Linked DNA regions of Caenorhabditis elegans. The protein of the gene in region 1 interacts with the protein of each later gene in a pairwise test. Each region holds a gene or a part of one and is shown on either strand. Other genes may lie near its edges.

Region 1 (7,589 bases):
TAGTCAGACGATATGGAATAGCTACATTTCGGGCCCCAGGGGCTCCAAGCCGAACAGTTGTCATTTAAATCATGTTTTATTTTTTAAGAGGTGATAGTTTTTTCAGTGTTGCTGCGTGTTTCGAGATCACGTATTTATTTACTCCCTCTAGATGTTATCCTTTGCTTTCCCGCGAATTTCATGATTGCCGTTTTTCAACTAACCCCGTTCCCGCTATAATCACGACGCAGACTACGTAGGAGTAGAGCAAGTTTACGTAGCAGGCATCCAAGTTTATGTAGGAAGTTGGCAGGGGCGGAGCTGAAAAAGTGAGATTCCGGTGCTTGACTCTTTCTATCAGTTTTTATCCTATACTGTTAAGCGGTCGATCTAGGCAGTTATCATATCGAGTCGCGCGTATATTCTCTCTTTTGTCGTCTGCTAAATCATGATTAACGAGAGGCCGTGTTCTGGTATACGTAAACTAGCTGTATACTTCTTTGGTTTCTTTGCCTACTCGTTTTTCATGGATTTAGTTTCAAACTATTTTCCGTTGCCTACTATTATTGACGACGAGGCTTCGTTAGTTTTGAGAAAGATAATGTAGAAGTACCGTAAGTGGACGTAGGAATTACACACGTCCGCGCAACAGCCCCACAAGACTGGACAAGAAATTCGCAGACCGTGAAGTAATTTGTATTTCATTTCTCATTTTACCTTGCTATAATTGGTTCAGAGTTAAGTTGCGATTATCCGAGAGGTTGGATCCTGATATGGATATGACGTGGCAGTTACAGGCAGAGGGACCCGTCCTCTGAGTTTAAAGTCACACAGATGAGTGTAATCGGATAATTTTATGCAGTGTTTTTATCTCAATTAATTGGGTATTGAAGGGTTGGTATCTTCTCAAAATTTTATGTACGTAACTCTTTCCGTCATACTTTCGGTCGAGACACACTAAGACTTGACCTCTATAGCCCCAGGCTCTGCTTGTTCTACCCTATACCACACTATAACCCAAAAAATAAACCCATAATACCATAAATTTCGTGTTGACAAGAGCGCAGCTTGAGCTGGGAAAACTATTTCTCGGAGAGCGAAGCGAACCGAGAATTATATGTTTTCCCCGAGAAAGCGGAGCGAGTATCGTACCGCCAGCTTAAAGGCGCATCGCCTTTAGTGTTCGATGGGTCTCGACGCGATGAAATCTTGCCTTGGCCGCAGCGGCGATTTGTCACCATTCTACGTGTTGGTTCCCACCCGCCCGCCCCACACATCTGTTATTCCAAAGTGCCATGCACCTACACTATATTCCAATCCTACGTGAGGACATTATGAACTATCCATAAAATGTGATTACACCGTAAGTTGATTGGCATCAGGTGAGCCTTCCTTTTTCCTTCAGATTCCGCCAGAGTGGGCAGTCGGTGTCAATCTGCAACAAAAGCAGTTTGACCCTTGTGCTTGTTTCGGCGGTAGCAGGGAAGCTTCATTTTTGCAGTTCTGTAGAGTAAAATATTTTCGGATTTGGGCTCGTGGAGCCAGTTTCGAAGTTTGAATAATGATCTATTTTGCAGAGACTTATGTTTTCACCTATAGAGACCACAGAAAATTCGACGTTCTTCGAGAGTTCGAGTCTCGCACGACTTCTTTTCCGGCGCCGGATGCCGCAAGGAAACACGAATTATCAAATGCAGGTTCAAATTTTGGACAAATATTGAAAAAATCAGGTGTTTTTCGAAAAATTTATGAACCTAGATACGATATATAGCTTTTGACTTATTTCCCATAAAAAATTTCGGACTAAAACCGGGAAAGGACGCCGATCCCAGAACTTCAAACATCGGAATTGAAGACAAACCATCGAATTTACTAAATATTCAGTTTCAGATAATAATAATTGGACTAGTGCCCATTCTACAGATTTCATATTTTCATCGCTCAGCCGTCGGGCATCGTGACACATTTGGGAAGGCGACTCCGAAATTCGGGTTCAGGATCGTCAGCCTTCGTCTATGCAGCGCTGTATTCGGTCGGAGAAAGGAGAGAAGAAAGAAGATGGGAAAAATAGGGAGGAACGTCGATCTCCATTCTGGACCGTTTTCCTCGTGCCACATTGCTCTTCAGGGATGCAGTATTGCAAGGCGTTTAGCTACGACTCAGGATTAACAGAGAAGTTTTTTGTATAATTGATTTAAGGAATACGCCTATATATGGCTCAGCTCAGTAACTCATAATTCTGCACAAGGTTTTTCAGTTTTCCCACGGCAGACAGCAGTCTTCGACGTCACTCTCCGCTCAGCCACCAGATCGACGACGATCAGAACCGAGGAGAAACGACTGCGAGGGAAACGATTGGGCCACCCACCAGGATACTAATTACCCTTAATTAAAATTTCGAGGCCCTTATCTTATCGAATTCAAATTTGGGCGCCACGCGCCCAAATCCCCATTATTATCAATTATCACGTACCTATACCACACTATAACCCAAAAAATAAACCCATAATACCATAAATTTCGTGTTGACAAGAGCGCAGCTTGAGCTGGGAAAACTATTTCTCGGAGAGCGAAGCGAACCGAGAATTTTTATTTTTATGTTTTTTTTTTCAATGTTGCCATTATTTTTAGCAAAAAAAAAAAGAAGAATTTTTGCAGTGAACTTTATTTATAAAAAATAGATTTTTCGGAAATGCTTCCAGAAAATTTTCGTTTCCAACAGACTTTTATAAAAATAACAATAGTTTCGTTCAAAATAGGGACCATACCGTAAATCTTCTTTTTTTGTTGGGTTTTTAGAGGAAATATATATTTTTTGATCTCTGGATCAAAGTTTTTTGTGACCAGCCGTGGTTTGTTCCCATTTCTTAGTTTGTCAGCATGGCTACCACGTTTTCAACATATAGATCCCGTAAAATGATGACAATTTTGATGTTTTGTTGGCTAATTTGACATGAAGTATCTGTAAGAGACGCAGACATCTCCGCGCAAAGTGCATATAAAGTGATTTCGACCACTGTTGGACACAAATTGATTCAACTAACATTATTTTCAAGATGCCTTCCTACAAGTTGACCTACTTTGCCGTTCGTGGACTCGCTGAGCCCGCCAGACTTTTATTTCATCTTGCCGGAGTTCCGTTTGAGGATGAACGACTGACTTTTGGAGATGGAAGCTGGGAGAAGCTGAAGGACAGTGAGTTTTGGCTTAGTGGAACGGTAGTGCGGCAAACATCAAAATTTGCCGAGCTCTGCCAATTCGGCAAATTTGGCAAATTTGCCGTGCTGAGCAAAATTCGAAAAATTAGAAATTTTCTGATATTTCTAGTAGCACCAAAAGTACTGAATTCTTTGCACAATTTTGATTTTTGAATAGCGTCCGTGTGGTCGGCCTACCCGGCATTTGGCCTTAGCTTCTTGCCCAATTTTGGCCCAAAAAATATTAACTTGGATCAGAAGTTGTCTAAATTTGGGCAAAACTTGGATTCAGGTGGGCCAAAAATTTGGGCCAAAATGGGTCGCCCGAAACCGTTTAGGCAACTTCTGATTCTGAAGTTAATTTTTTGGGCCAAATTCCAAGTACATAAAATTTGAATTACCTCAATTTTATGATACTTTACTATAATTTTTTAAACAACAAAATCAATAATTTCGGTCAAATTTTTCAAATCCTTCTGTGTTGGGAGCGGCGAATTTCAAAAAGTAGTATTTTCAGAAACCCCAATGGGTCAAATGCCTGTCCTAAACGTCGACGGATTTGAAATCCCCCAATCTGCTGCCATCACTCGCTACCTTGCTAGAAAATTCGGGTTCGCTGGAAAAACTCCTGAAGAAGAAGCTTGGGTGGACGCCGTCGTCGATCAATTCAAGGATTTTTTTGGAGAATTCAGAAAACTAATTATTGCTCAGCGAGCCGGAAAATCAGTGGAAGAAATTGAAAAGCTCACCAAGGAAGTTATCAATCCAGCTGTAAGCTCGTTCTTCAAAATTCTCAATGGCCTTCTGGAAAAGAGCAAGTCAGGATATCTCATCGGGGATTCGATCACCTTTGCGGATCTTTTCATCGCTGAAGATATGCAATCCCTTAAAAACTTTGGATTCCTGAATGCTACGGAGCAACCAAAAATTGCAGCTCATCTCGAAAAAGTGTACTCCCATCCGAAGCTGAAGAGTTATATCGCAAGTCGTCCAGTTACCGAGATCTAATTTTTTTCTATTTTCTTTTTCTACTTTTCATGAAATACGCATTTTTGAAAACGAATAATAAAGTATGATATGCTGTCAAAAAATTTCCTGCATTCTTGCAAAACCGGACGTCGAACACCAATTTGCCACTTTGATCTACGTAGATCTACAAAAAATGCGGGAGAAGATCTTCTCGAGACGCAGAATTCTCAACTGATTTCAAATCGTTAAGAACGTGCTGACGTCACATATTTTTGGGCAAAAAATTCCCGCATTTTTTGTAGATCAAACCCTATTGGGACATCCTGGCATCACGTGATTTGCCTAAAACCAAAAATAATGCGCATTCAGAGAACATGCCTATTGTGCCTACCTATTTATTAACTTTGACAGTAGATAGGCAGGCGGCTGCTTAGAGCCTATAAGCTAGCCTACCTAGGCAACCCACATAGCCTACCTTTCAACTTTTCAAAAGATCATTGGATCACTAACACAATGTGACTAGTTGTGGTTTGTTACAAATTGCCTCATTGTCACCCTAAACTCCCTATTATTTCCCGTAAATGATGACGATTTTGATCTTTTGTAGGGTTATCTTGAAGTGAAAGATCACTAAGTACCCAGACTGCACTCTAGTCTTTTTCCCCTTTAAATAGTCTCGAGAATGAGTTTGAGAAACTAAAAATGCCGTCCTACAAGCTGTCTTATTTCCCAGTTCGTGGTCTAGCCGAGTCAGCCAGACTTTTATTCCATCTTGCCGGAGTTCCGTTTGAGGATGAACGGGTGAACTTTTTGGATGACACCTGGGAGAAGATGAAAGGCAGTGAGTTTGGGCAAAGTGGTAGGGTAGTGCAGGGGTGAGCGGCAATATTTGCCAAATTTGCTGGTAACCTAGCGCGGTAAATTTATCAAATTTTCCGTTTCCCAAGCTCGGCAAATTTGTTGAATATGCCCGACTCGCCGAGCTCGTCAAGTCTACCATATTTGCCGTTTTTCATGCTCGGCAAACTTGCCGAATTTGACATTTACCGAGTTCGGCAAATTTGCCGAATTTACTGTTTAGAAAGTTCGTAAAATTTTCCGAATTTGCCGAGCTTGGCAAGTTTTGAAATTTGCCGCACACCACAAAAATCGGCAGTTTGCCGGTTTTTTAAAAACAGTTTCGCCGATTGAAATCGAAATTATGAAATTTCCGAAAACAAATGTGCAAAACCACAATTTGCCGAAAAAATGTAGAATCGACAATGTGCCGGTTTGCCGATTTGCCCGAAATTTTCAAATTCGCCGGAAATTTTCGATTCCGAAAATTTGCCGATTTGTCGGAAATTTGAAATTCCGGCATTTTGTCTATTTGCCGGAAATTTTAAATTCCGACAATTTGCCGGTTTGCCGACTTGCCGGAATATGTCGCCCACCCCTGCTATATATCGAATTCCAGAAACCCCAATGGGACAATTGCCTGTCCTCACCGTCGATGACTTCGAAATCCCACAATCTGCTGCCATAAATCGCTACCTTGCTAGAAAATTCGGGTTCGCTGGAAAAACTCCAGAGGAAGAAGCTTGGGTAGACGCCGTCGTCGATCAATTCAAAGATTTCTTTGCGGAATTCAGAAAACTAGTCATTGCAAAACGAGTCGGAAAATCTGCTGAAGAACTGGAAAAGTTAACGGCTGAAGTTATAAAACCTGCTATGGATGTGTACTTCAAAGTTCTCAATGGCCTACTGGAAAAGAGCAAGTCAGGATATCTGATCGGAGATTCAATCACCTTCGCGGATCTTTATATCGCTGACAACATTCAAACACTGAAAAAATATGGGCTCCTAGAAGCTTCTGGAGAGCAACCAAAACTAGCAGCTCATCTCGAAAAAGTGTATTCCCACCCCAATCTGAAGAGCTATATCGCAAGTCGTCCAGTAACGGAGATCTAATTTTTAATCTTACTAACATGTTTTCCATATTCAAAAACAAAATAAAGAAGTTTCCTTTGACAACCAGAAACTTCATTAATGTTGACTGCCGCCGAAATGTCCTTGTCAATACTCTCTCACGTGGGGGGGGGGGGGGGGGGTAAACAAGAAAATGTGATGTTTGGTGAACAGAAAGGGTAGGGGAGAATAACAAAATAAAAACGAAGGAGGTTTTCTAAAGAATGATTGTTCTGGATTTTTTTTTGTTGGTTTTTTACAATTCATTTTTATTTTTATACTTATGCCAAGTTGAATTAAAGATGGAGCAGAGTTTCTGAAGTTTGCATATATTAATTACCTATTTTCAACAAATTTAGACGGCATTTTATTTTTGCCCAATTTTTTTCAGCCATCTAAGGACTGTCCTTTTTTTGGGCAAAAAAAATTTCTCTGAAACCGTTCGAAACTACTGGAAATTGAAAAAGGGCAATTTTTTAGTGTTTGCAGATCAATTTTGAGTCCTCTATCTATAAAATTGACCATTTTAGAGGAGTTTCAAAATTGTGATTTTTTGCCATAAATTGCCCATTTTTGCCACGTTATAGTTTTTGATGGGTTAAACATAGATTTTCTGAATTCAGCATACACGAATTACCCGTTTTCAACAAATTTAGCCAAAAATTTTTTTGCCCAATTTTTTTAAAGCCATCTAATGACTGTCCTTTTTTTTGGGCAAAAAAAAAGATTTTTCTTAAAACGTTTGGAACCACTGGAAATTGAAAAAGGGCAATTTTTTAGTGTTTGTAGATCAATTTTGAGTTCTCTAACTAAATTCAAAATGAACCATTTTAGAGGAGTTTTAAAATTTGTGATTTTTTACAATAAATTGCCCAAACAATATGTTTTTAAAAAAATTTTTAATGATTTTTTTTTTCAATTTTTCAAAAATCAAAGAAATGCCCAAATTATATTTGAATTCTCGCGCAAATGAGTGACGTCATTTTTGGCTAAATTTATGCGTTTTTTTTTAAAATTTTCTTCTATATTTGATTTAAAACACAAATTCGGCAATTGTTTTTCAAATTGAAAACTTTTTTCCGTAACATGGAAGAAATTGGTCTAAAAAACGGAAATTTAATATTTCTTTATATTTTTTTTGTTTTAGAAAATTGAATGTTTGAAAAATTGACAAACGGCGATTTAAATCAAATGTAGAAGACATATCAAGAAACCCCTCCAAAATTAGCCAGAAAAAGCGAAAATGCATAGAATGACGTCACTCATTCGCGCGGGAATTCAAATTTAATTCGGACGTTTTTTTTTTCAAATGGAAAAAAATTATTAAAAATTTAGAAAATTTTTAAAATTTTTTGACAGTTATATTTGGTTATTACGACCTATTTTCTGTGACTTAAACCCAAAAAAAATTTGAAAAAGCTCTTCTTCTCTTTTCAAAGTGGGGTTTTTTTCGAAACGTGTCCTGCAAAAAAATGTAAATTTCCAAAAAATCGTTTT
Region 2 (8,779 bases), on another chromosome or scaffold:
TAGAACCCAATTGACATAATGCTCTCACACGATTGGCCTGGAGGTATTCCTGATTTTGGTGATAAGGAATGGCTTTTCCGGAAAAAGGATTTATTTGAAGCAGATCACAATAGTGGCAAACTGGGGAATCCTTCTGGAATGAAACTGATTTATGTATGTTTTTTGGTGATATTTGCAAAATTACTGTATGTATGTATTTTAGGATTGCCGGCCCAGATACTATCTTGCTGCACATCTTCATATTGCTTTTGCGGCCCTTGTTCCTCATAAAGGTTCAGGATCAGGCCGTCCACAGCCTACACGATTCTTATCACTGGATAAACCGATTCCTGGGAGAAAGTTTATGCAGGCAAGTCGTCACGTTCACTTTTTAAACTTCAACATTCAATATTATACAATCGAATAAATTTTTTCATTTTTCAGGCTCTCGAGTTGAATGTTGCAGACGATGCTAAACTGGAACTGTCATATGATCCACAATGGTTGGCTATTCTGAGAAATACAGATTTATTAACAACTGGAACAAAAGAACAGCTGATACTTCCCGATATGGCATCAAATCGTCCATGTGTCTACGAAAGAAAAGATTTTCGACCAACAGCAGAGGAGTTAAAAGAAATCGAAAAACTCGGAGATTTAACAATCAGAACTGACAGTTTCCAACAAACTGCGCCTCCGTTAAAAGAGGTAAGTGTCATCTCAGAATTTCGTGGATCTCTTAAGGATAGTAATTAAAACAACTGTTTACAGATTACGGAATCATCCAAAAATGTGCCACCAAGCGCCTACTACCGTAATCCACAATCTGCCGAGTTTTGTCAGTGGCTTGGTATTCGGGATCTTAATCAGATGCTCGTTGAAAAAACATCTGAACACGTTGGAACTCCGTACTACATGATGACTCAAGACGATGCGAACGCTAAACCAAATCAAGATGACGTGGATTTTGGTGACGAAGATTTTGTAATCGACAGAGGGCACACCTCCGATGAGCCAGAAGCGAAAAAAAGTAGATTGGACGAAGATAAGTTTGAAGCAGTACCATCCGAATGATGTTGAATACTTTACAACGTAGTTTCTAATTGAAGACCACATTGCCAAATATTTATTTTTTTGACATCAAGATATTGCCGTTTGTTGTTGTATACTCTATGTTAACATCTCAAAAAAACTTTAAATTGCCAAAAAAATAAAGCACCTCTCATGTTCACGTTTTCTCACAAACAAATATAGACTATGAAAATGCAGGGAGACTCCCAAATAAAAAAAAGCGGAAGAAGCAAGTCGATGCATTTACAATGGATGCTCTTTTTCCGCTACACTCACTTATTGTTAAACTTTTCCTCGATCTCTTTGACCCAACGTGGACTTCTTCAACGGTTTTATAGAGAATACGGAAGAGCTCCGCCTATATAATGGACGGTACACATTTTTTAAAATTTAACTGTTCCGTTTTGTTTATGGTTTCAAATCTTTAGAGCCTAATTTCTTTAGTAAAATTTATGTTAGGGTTTTCTATTTCAAAGTGCATCCACATATTCTGACGCCTTCCATGAATAGTTACAGTAATCTAATCAAAATCGCTGCAAGACCCGATTAAAAAAACAGAACTACCACTCGGTTTAAAATATAATTGAGCTATTTTACAAAAAATTTTCTATGTACAAAAAAAAACAAACAATTCTCATTCAGTTTTATCCGTTGCAGTAGAGTATCCTCTCCTCCTCTCGTCGATCATTTTCGTACCTTTTCCCTCATTCTCTCCATTTTTTCGAATGAGAAGAGACAGGGATGAATCAGTTGTTTTTTGTTCGTTTTGTTGGTGTGTTCCCATCAAGTACTCTATACTTTTTATTAGTTTCTTTGTTTTCGTTCAAAATTAGAGAGATTTTACGCCAAGGAAAGCCATGGATGAAATTAGTATAACTAGTTCGTATAGTGTTAACATTACCAAAATTCAGAGTAAAGCTTTTTTTTTAAATGTTTGAGTTGATTTGATTTACAGTCGAAAGGTCAGTTACACAGTTTTTTTAAAATTTATTTTTAAATATTTTTACTCGAACATTGTGAAAAAATGCAAGAATACAATTTTAAATACAACAATACAACTATCCCAAATTTGGTAGTTTACCAAAAATTTGAAAATTGTGGATTTAAATAAAGTTTTGGAGTGTTTCGGCTATGTTGGTCTATTATAAAAGTTATTATAAACGTATCCGTACAAAGTATTGGCAGAGAGAGAGGGAGAGAATATATGCAGGGGAGACCCCAATTTTTGGAAAAACAGTTCTGGTACTAATAGTAAGTTATAAAATTTTGAAAAGTATTGGACTTTGAGAATTTTCGAGTATTGCTGCGGATTAAGAGCATTACAATGTTAGAATTTAAAAACTAATACTTTTAAAAAAAGCATATCCTTTGGTCGACTCCAAAATTAAGGTGATACATAGATGAAAACAGAGTTATTGCAATTTTTTGACTGAGAAAAAAAATTCTGCCGAGAATTTTTGAGCAGTTTTACATTTGGTCATTTGTGCACCATAAAAGTGGTTGTGAATGATTTCCCTTTGAGGCATCAAGACTGGTATAATATCCACCCTTTTCAGTCTCATATTGAAGAATTCCAGTAGTACCAATAGGTCTAAATACCTAAATATATGTATCCAGTAATCTCTATGTCAGACGATATCAGAAATAAGATACAGTAAATCAGTCATGATACCATCTGTCCATGTTGCTTCTTCGATTTCTCTATGTCTCCATTTCTTATGTACTATCTCATTCTTCTCTTCTTGACACCATCTGCTCCCTTTATATGGGAATACTCCCCCTACTTGCTCCATCTCTTCGCTTTCTTCTTCACATCGACCCTCTTTTCAGTCTGCGTCTCTATCATCTCTCGTTAAAGCTAGCCCCACTACCAGTTTTCCCCAAAAAGCAGTTAGTTGGTATTTTTCATTATTGTCATTTTCGAGATTTCGCAATAACATTATCCATGCTAAAATGGATAATAGGATCCCGTCGGCTTTAACGACGTCTGTCAAATCGCCGAAAACGCCAAGTGGAATACCATTCTTGATTCGAGAACGTGACGTCATCAAAGCTATCTTAGAATTTTTAGAGATTCGAGGTCTACATATAACACAGGTGAGTAAAAAATGTATCTCAGAAACCCACATTTTTCGTAAATTTGCCAATTTGCCAAAACCTTGACTGCAATTTTTCTAAACTCTAAATATTTTTTGGAGTGGTTTATATGTAATGATATTCGATAATTTTGGACTATTATAAATGTATTTATTACCACCTTACTGATTTTGATATATTATGTAGTGTTCAATTCGTAAACCCCAATTGAAAGTTTGTATTTACGGAGAATCAGACTTCTTATTCAAGAACTACACATTTTAACCAGAAATTTAATTTAGTGATGATTGTACCAGAAACATTTAAATTTTTTTAAAATTTTTAATCCAAACTCAGACACAGGCTCAATTATTACGCTTTCAGTTATCTCTAGAACGTGAAGCTGGTGTTATCAATGGTGCTTTCTCTGATGATCTCTTATTTTTACGCCAACTGATTCTTGATGGGCAATGGGATAATGCTCTCGATTTTGTGGAACCTTTAAAGCCGGTCAATGAATTTGATTTTGGAGCTTTTCGGTTGGTTTTTTAGGGCTGAAATGTTTTATAAGAAAGGTGTAAACTTTAACAATATAAATTTTCGAGAAACAAAATGTTTGCCATTTTTTATTAAATGAGTTCTGTCATTATTTTCAAAAAACATGATTTAGATATAATATAACAAAATACAAATTCTTCGAACTCCTATGCGTCAAGCTCGAGCCCGGACCTTTACATGACAACGACTTTGCAGTAGAGGTATACACCTTTTAGAAGTACATTTTAAATTTTTAAAATGTTGATTTAAAGGAACTCGTAGAATGTCTGAAAGATTTGGAACACATTTGTCCGACTCCCGAAGATTATCGTCATTTGTGTGCACTTTTGACACTTCCAAAACTATCAGATCACGAAGATTTTAAGAATTGGAATCCAAGTTCTGCAAGGGTTGAGTGTTTCAATAAGGTGGGTGATTTTGATTTCTGAATTCAGAAATCTATGGGTTATTTTACAGGTTAACCAACTCTGTGGACATTTGCTTCCACCAACTGGGAAGGAAAAAGACCGAGGAGATGATGCAAATAGTTCAAATGACAGATTAACTGGATTAATTACAAAAGGAAGATTCTACGAAGGTTGTGTAGATTACTGTCAAGCACAGGTTAGTTGTAGTTTCAAAATGTATTTTCTGAAAAAAAAAAAGAAGACGAGAACTTGTTAAAAACAACTTCCATGGTGCCAAAATGACCGAATATTGAAATGAACTTTTTTTTTCAAAAAAATTTTAGTGACCGTCCAAAAAGTGGTCATTACTGAGTTTTTGCCACTTTTGAAGAAAACTATAGCACTGTTGCATGTTCCCTACAATGTTTGAATATAAATGTTTGAAACATAAGTAGACCATAAAAATGAAAGGAAGTTTTTTGGATCGGCTTCCGAAAAAGTGGCAAAAACCGAGTTTTTGCCAATTTTCAAAAAATCATATAAAATTTAGAAAAATTGATTAAATTTTTTATTATGATATTTGGTCATTGTGCTGCTATTTCCTCACTGGAGCTACTCCGCCATCAATGTTAATATTTATAACATCAACATTTTTCAGGCAATTGGTGATAAACGAGGTATCGACGCTGGCCCGATGCCATCAGAAATGTTGACATTCCGTCCGAAGCTCGGATCGGCTGATTTATCATTAGTTTGCTGGTTAGAAATGGTAGGAAAAGAACAATTTTCAATGCCTTTCAAGCAGAAACAATTGGAGTTGAAAGTCGATCATATAAGGTAAGTTTGAATTATTTTTTATTAAGCAGCAGACAAATCGCCTTTTGCCCGAAAAAGGTATCCAAAAAGTGATGGATGTAAACGCTGCGAGGAGGACGAGTGAAGAGGCATATAATGACGCACGTTACGTCCATCTCATCTTGTTGGAAACTCAAAAACATTATGCCAAAAAAATAGTCTCAAATAAATTTTATTTTTAAATGATATTATAGGAAACCGAAACTGGAAGCTCCTTGGACAGAAACAATTATGGCAACTCCAATCAAACCTGGTGGTCAATTCCCTCATAATCTTGTTCCATCCTCCAAATTAAAATTCGCGGAGAAAATGAGCCAATCAATGACAATGAGCATGCTTCCCCCAGCCGATTTGACCACTTCAATGTTCCCATCGGTGCCACGTGGCCATCCAATGTCACAGTCAACAGCTGCAGGATTTTGTTTGGGAACGGCAATAACAGAAGCTGATGCAATGGCGCAGAGTCTTCTAATTGATGAAATGATGGAATCAAGTCAATTGGCAAGAACATCAAGACCTGATACATTGAGAGGAGTTGGAATGATGATGACTGGAGATACAATTGTTCCTGTACAACCTGCACAAGTAATGATCAATGCCCCATCTCAACTCTCAAGTCAAATGATGAGCATGTAATTTTTATAAATTCAAATAAGTGAAAGATATATATTATTTAGGTCAATGGCTCCCCAAGTGATGGCGCCGATCGCTCCAATGGCTCAAAATATGATTAATTACGATTTTGCTCCAGTTCGAAGGCAATTGGATGAAATGGCACGAAGGTGAGTAATGCACATTTGTTCAGAACTTACGATATGTAGCACAGATTCTCTGTAAGATGGAAGGGGAGTACTGTAGGGTAAATGTGAATTGTTTCTGAAAAATCCAGACAGAAAATATTGTTTGTTCATTTCATGATAGTAAATAGAAATATGCTACAGATCCTTGCCTCCATCCCGCCTTCCAACTGTACCAGAACTCGGTTCACCAGCTGTTAATAGTCACCACGAAGAAAATTTGATGACTCAAAGCCGTCTCTTCCAACAGTTTTCTGCTGCTAAACAAATAAGTAAGTCAAAAAGTTTTATGAGATCTGATAAGAGGTAAAATGATATGAAACTGAGTGGAAAGAAAGGGAATCAGACTGCTTCCGGTGACGGTTGTCGATTCAAGTCTGCATTGGATGCAGCACACGAGAGAGCTATGACGTCACGATAACCATTCATAGAAACACTGAAAAGATGGGGTAAAAGGACACAAAAGAGTACTAAAAATACCTCATATGGAATGGAAGTACTGTATTCCTTGCTGATAGTAATGCTTCTTGAACATTTGGATAAAATTGAGTTCTTGGGACTGTATTATAAAATCCCAGAAGCTCCATTGAATCACGTACAAATGCGGGTACACCAGCCAATAGTATTTTTATATTTTCACTGCTCAAGTCTCCGTACACCTAAACGATGTTTGAATTGAGTACGGTTCACAAATGTCCGTTCACACCTGTGATAAACATGTCAACATATCCTTATCAATACCAGTCACTCCATTCATTGACAAAACGAGAAATCTAACAATTGGAGGAGTATCTTCTGAAGGTGGCAGAGCCACGGAGACATCACACTCTTGAATTATCGTAATGTTTGCTGAGAGATTCACAGATTCCCGTGCACATATACTTTCCTGAATTGAGAACTTGATTGGAAGATATTAGTTTAGTTCTAGAAGAAGAAAAACTTGAAATATCCATTCGTCAGTAAGAGGTTATGGACTGATGAAGATTTTTTTTGAAAGCTAATTTAATTTGGAATGATATCATAAACTTTTTCAAACCAAAGGTAGTGTAGAAGTAATATATACAAAATTATTTTTTCAAAAAAATATTATTTTTGCTGAAGAAGGGTTCAAATTATTTTCGATGCAATGAAATTGTTCCATATTTCTACATTTATGTTTTTCATTAAAAATTAGGTTATCACTTTGAATGACATCTCACAATTACATCTCAAAAACAGTTCAAAATGTACAACAGGGTTCACTTGTTCACAGTTATTTGTTCACTCAACGCAATAATTCCCACCACTGACGAATGGATAATACTCACTTTTGGTCCAATTGCTGATGGACATTGACTACGTAAAGATGCAGTTCGAGTTCCGATTCCAATTCCGATCAGACTAAAGTTCACAAAGTTAATTTTTTACTGGAAATTTACAAATTACCCTTTGACAACAACCGCCTGTTTGAAAAGTTCACTTCTGATACTTTCACAATTAACGGAAAGAAGTGGTCCACTGAGACGAATGATTCGAAGAGGAGTATCAAGGCAATCACCTTCGTAACTGGAACATGACGGTTTAAGAATATTTACAACACAGCTTGAATAATTATGAAATTGACAAGAAAACGTGTACCCGGCTAGAAAACTCACCGATTCTCCTCAGCAAAATGCGACTCAGACAGCTTGGCAAGAACCTCAACATTCGGGAATTGGACTTTCAATGAAACTGCGAAAATTGAGCAAAACAACATACAGATGAAGCCAGTGCACACATTTGGGAAAATTAAAGCACTCACAATTGCAGCCATAGCAATTGCCTGAAAATTTATCGATTTTTTGTTCTTAGATCTGCGGGGAAATATTTTTTGAAATATCAGAAGAACAAGTTCAAAATGTGGAAGTATCACAAAAGAAAAATTAAAAGTTCAACACTGGCTAATCTCCCAATTTGAATTTCTTCCAAAAGTAGTAAACCAATGCGTCGCGTTAAAAAATCTCAGTTTTTTGGACTATTTTGAGCACCTTTAACTTTGGAAATATTTAAACTGGAAGAAAACACTAATTTTTAGACAAAAACTAGAACAGTTTTCCTCAAGTTCAAACTAATATTGAATTGGAAAATAAACTAACCGCATCCCATGTAGAGGAATAAAAAATTTCTCGTATATTTTTGAGATCACTAAACCAACCATTGAAAGATGTTATCACCATGATACCAATTGCACACTGAAGAAAATACATTCAAAAATAATTCCAAAATCAAAGAAGACTTACAATTGGAAGAGCATTGAACAATGGTGCTCCAAAATGAACCATTAAAATTGTGGGAATCAATGACAGAACGTTGGCAACTAATGAGAATTTAGAAGATTCAATATTAATTTGTGAACTTCCATAACTGCTTGACGGAGGCAACAATCCAAAAAATGAGCTCAATATGGAAATTATTGAGAAGCAGAATAGTTCTTGTTTTCGATGAACTTTATACATTTTCTCCTCAGCAATCGATTTTGTGATCTGCATGTGTGACGTCATAGCATAAATTGAAATTGCGAAAGAATCCAGAAATGTGTTAAATGAGGGAAGGGTCCATAATCCGATTTTTGGAATTGAAAGATCAATTCGAGATGAAGCTTGAGATGCGACATCGGGTTGGAAAAAGAAAATAATGAGAGTAACTGTGAGCAAAACAAAGAACTCATGAGGAGCACTAAAGCCGATTTTTGAAATCAGAAAACGAGAAAGTCGCCATTTGAAAATAATAAAAACCATGGCAGCGACGACGGTTGCAACAATTAGAATGGTATCAGCGGATCTGAAAATATCGTAATTTATTTCAACTTGACTTGACTATGTTTTTCTTCCCATTGATTTATTATTATTTATCTTCCAAAAGCGTTTCCGGGGAGTGAATCTCCTCCACCCATAAAATGTTTTGATTCAACAAACCTCAAACATGGAACAGCTGCGTAAAAGCATTGAAGAACTCTTTTCACGTTATCAGTAGTATTTGGAAGAAGGATTCCAACTGCTGATGTACTTTTACAGTCATGCCCACGAAACACAAGAAATT

The links. Proteins that work in one complex are often made in the same cells at the same time.
Region 2: the proteins of gst-12 (region 1) and nmtn-1 interact in a two-hybrid assay, tested with the Caenorhabditis elegans proteins (one large-scale study listed by BioGRID).

The regions. Positions count from the first base shown.
Region 1 is NC_003280.10:13,613,357-13,620,945, reverse strand, and holds gst-12 (glutathione transferase), read left to right. Parts: upstream 1-2,884; 5' UTR 2,885-3,035; coding exon 3,036-3,174; intron 3,175-3,693; coding exon 3,694-4,184; 3' UTR 4,185-4,264; downstream 4,265-7,589. Other genes in the region: gst-14 (glutathione transferase), read left to right, coding at 4,848-4,986, 5,602-6,095.
Region 2 is NC_003279.8:6,483,143-6,491,921, reverse strand, and holds the start of nmtn-1 (CTLH domain-containing protein), read left to right. Parts: upstream 1-2,944; 5' UTR 2,945-3,003; coding exon 3,004-3,147; intron 3,148-3,510; coding exon 3,511-3,665; intron 3,666-3,796; coding exon 3,797-3,884; intron 3,885-3,935; coding exon 3,936-4,091; intron 4,092-4,140; coding exon 4,141-4,287; intron 4,288-4,728; coding exon 4,729-4,907; intron 4,908-5,119; coding exon 5,120-5,557; intron 5,558-5,602; coding exon 5,603-5,707; intron 5,708-5,866; coding exon 5,867-5,994; intron 5,995-5,995; exon of another isoform or gene 5,996-6,064; coding exon of another isoform or gene 6,065-6,158; intron 6,159-6,202; coding exon of another isoform or gene 6,203-6,381; intron 6,382-6,428; coding exon of another isoform or gene 6,429-6,620; intron 6,621-7,029; coding exon of another isoform or gene 7,030-7,102; intron 7,103-7,147; coding exon of another isoform or gene 7,148-7,267; intron 7,268-7,356; coding exon of another isoform or gene 7,357-7,523; intron 7,524-7,836; coding exon of another isoform or gene 7,837-7,932; intron 7,933-7,980; coding exon of another isoform or gene 7,981-8,521; intron 8,522-8,655; coding exon of another isoform or gene 8,656-8,779. Other genes in the region: dbr-1 (Lariat debranching enzyme), read left to right, coding at 4-153, 203-349, 424-687, 751-1,053; sulp-1 (STAS domain-containing protein), read right to left, coding at 6,065-6,158, 6,203-6,381, 6,429-6,620, 7,030-7,102, 7,148-7,267, 7,357-7,523, 7,837-7,932, 7,981-8,521 and 1 more.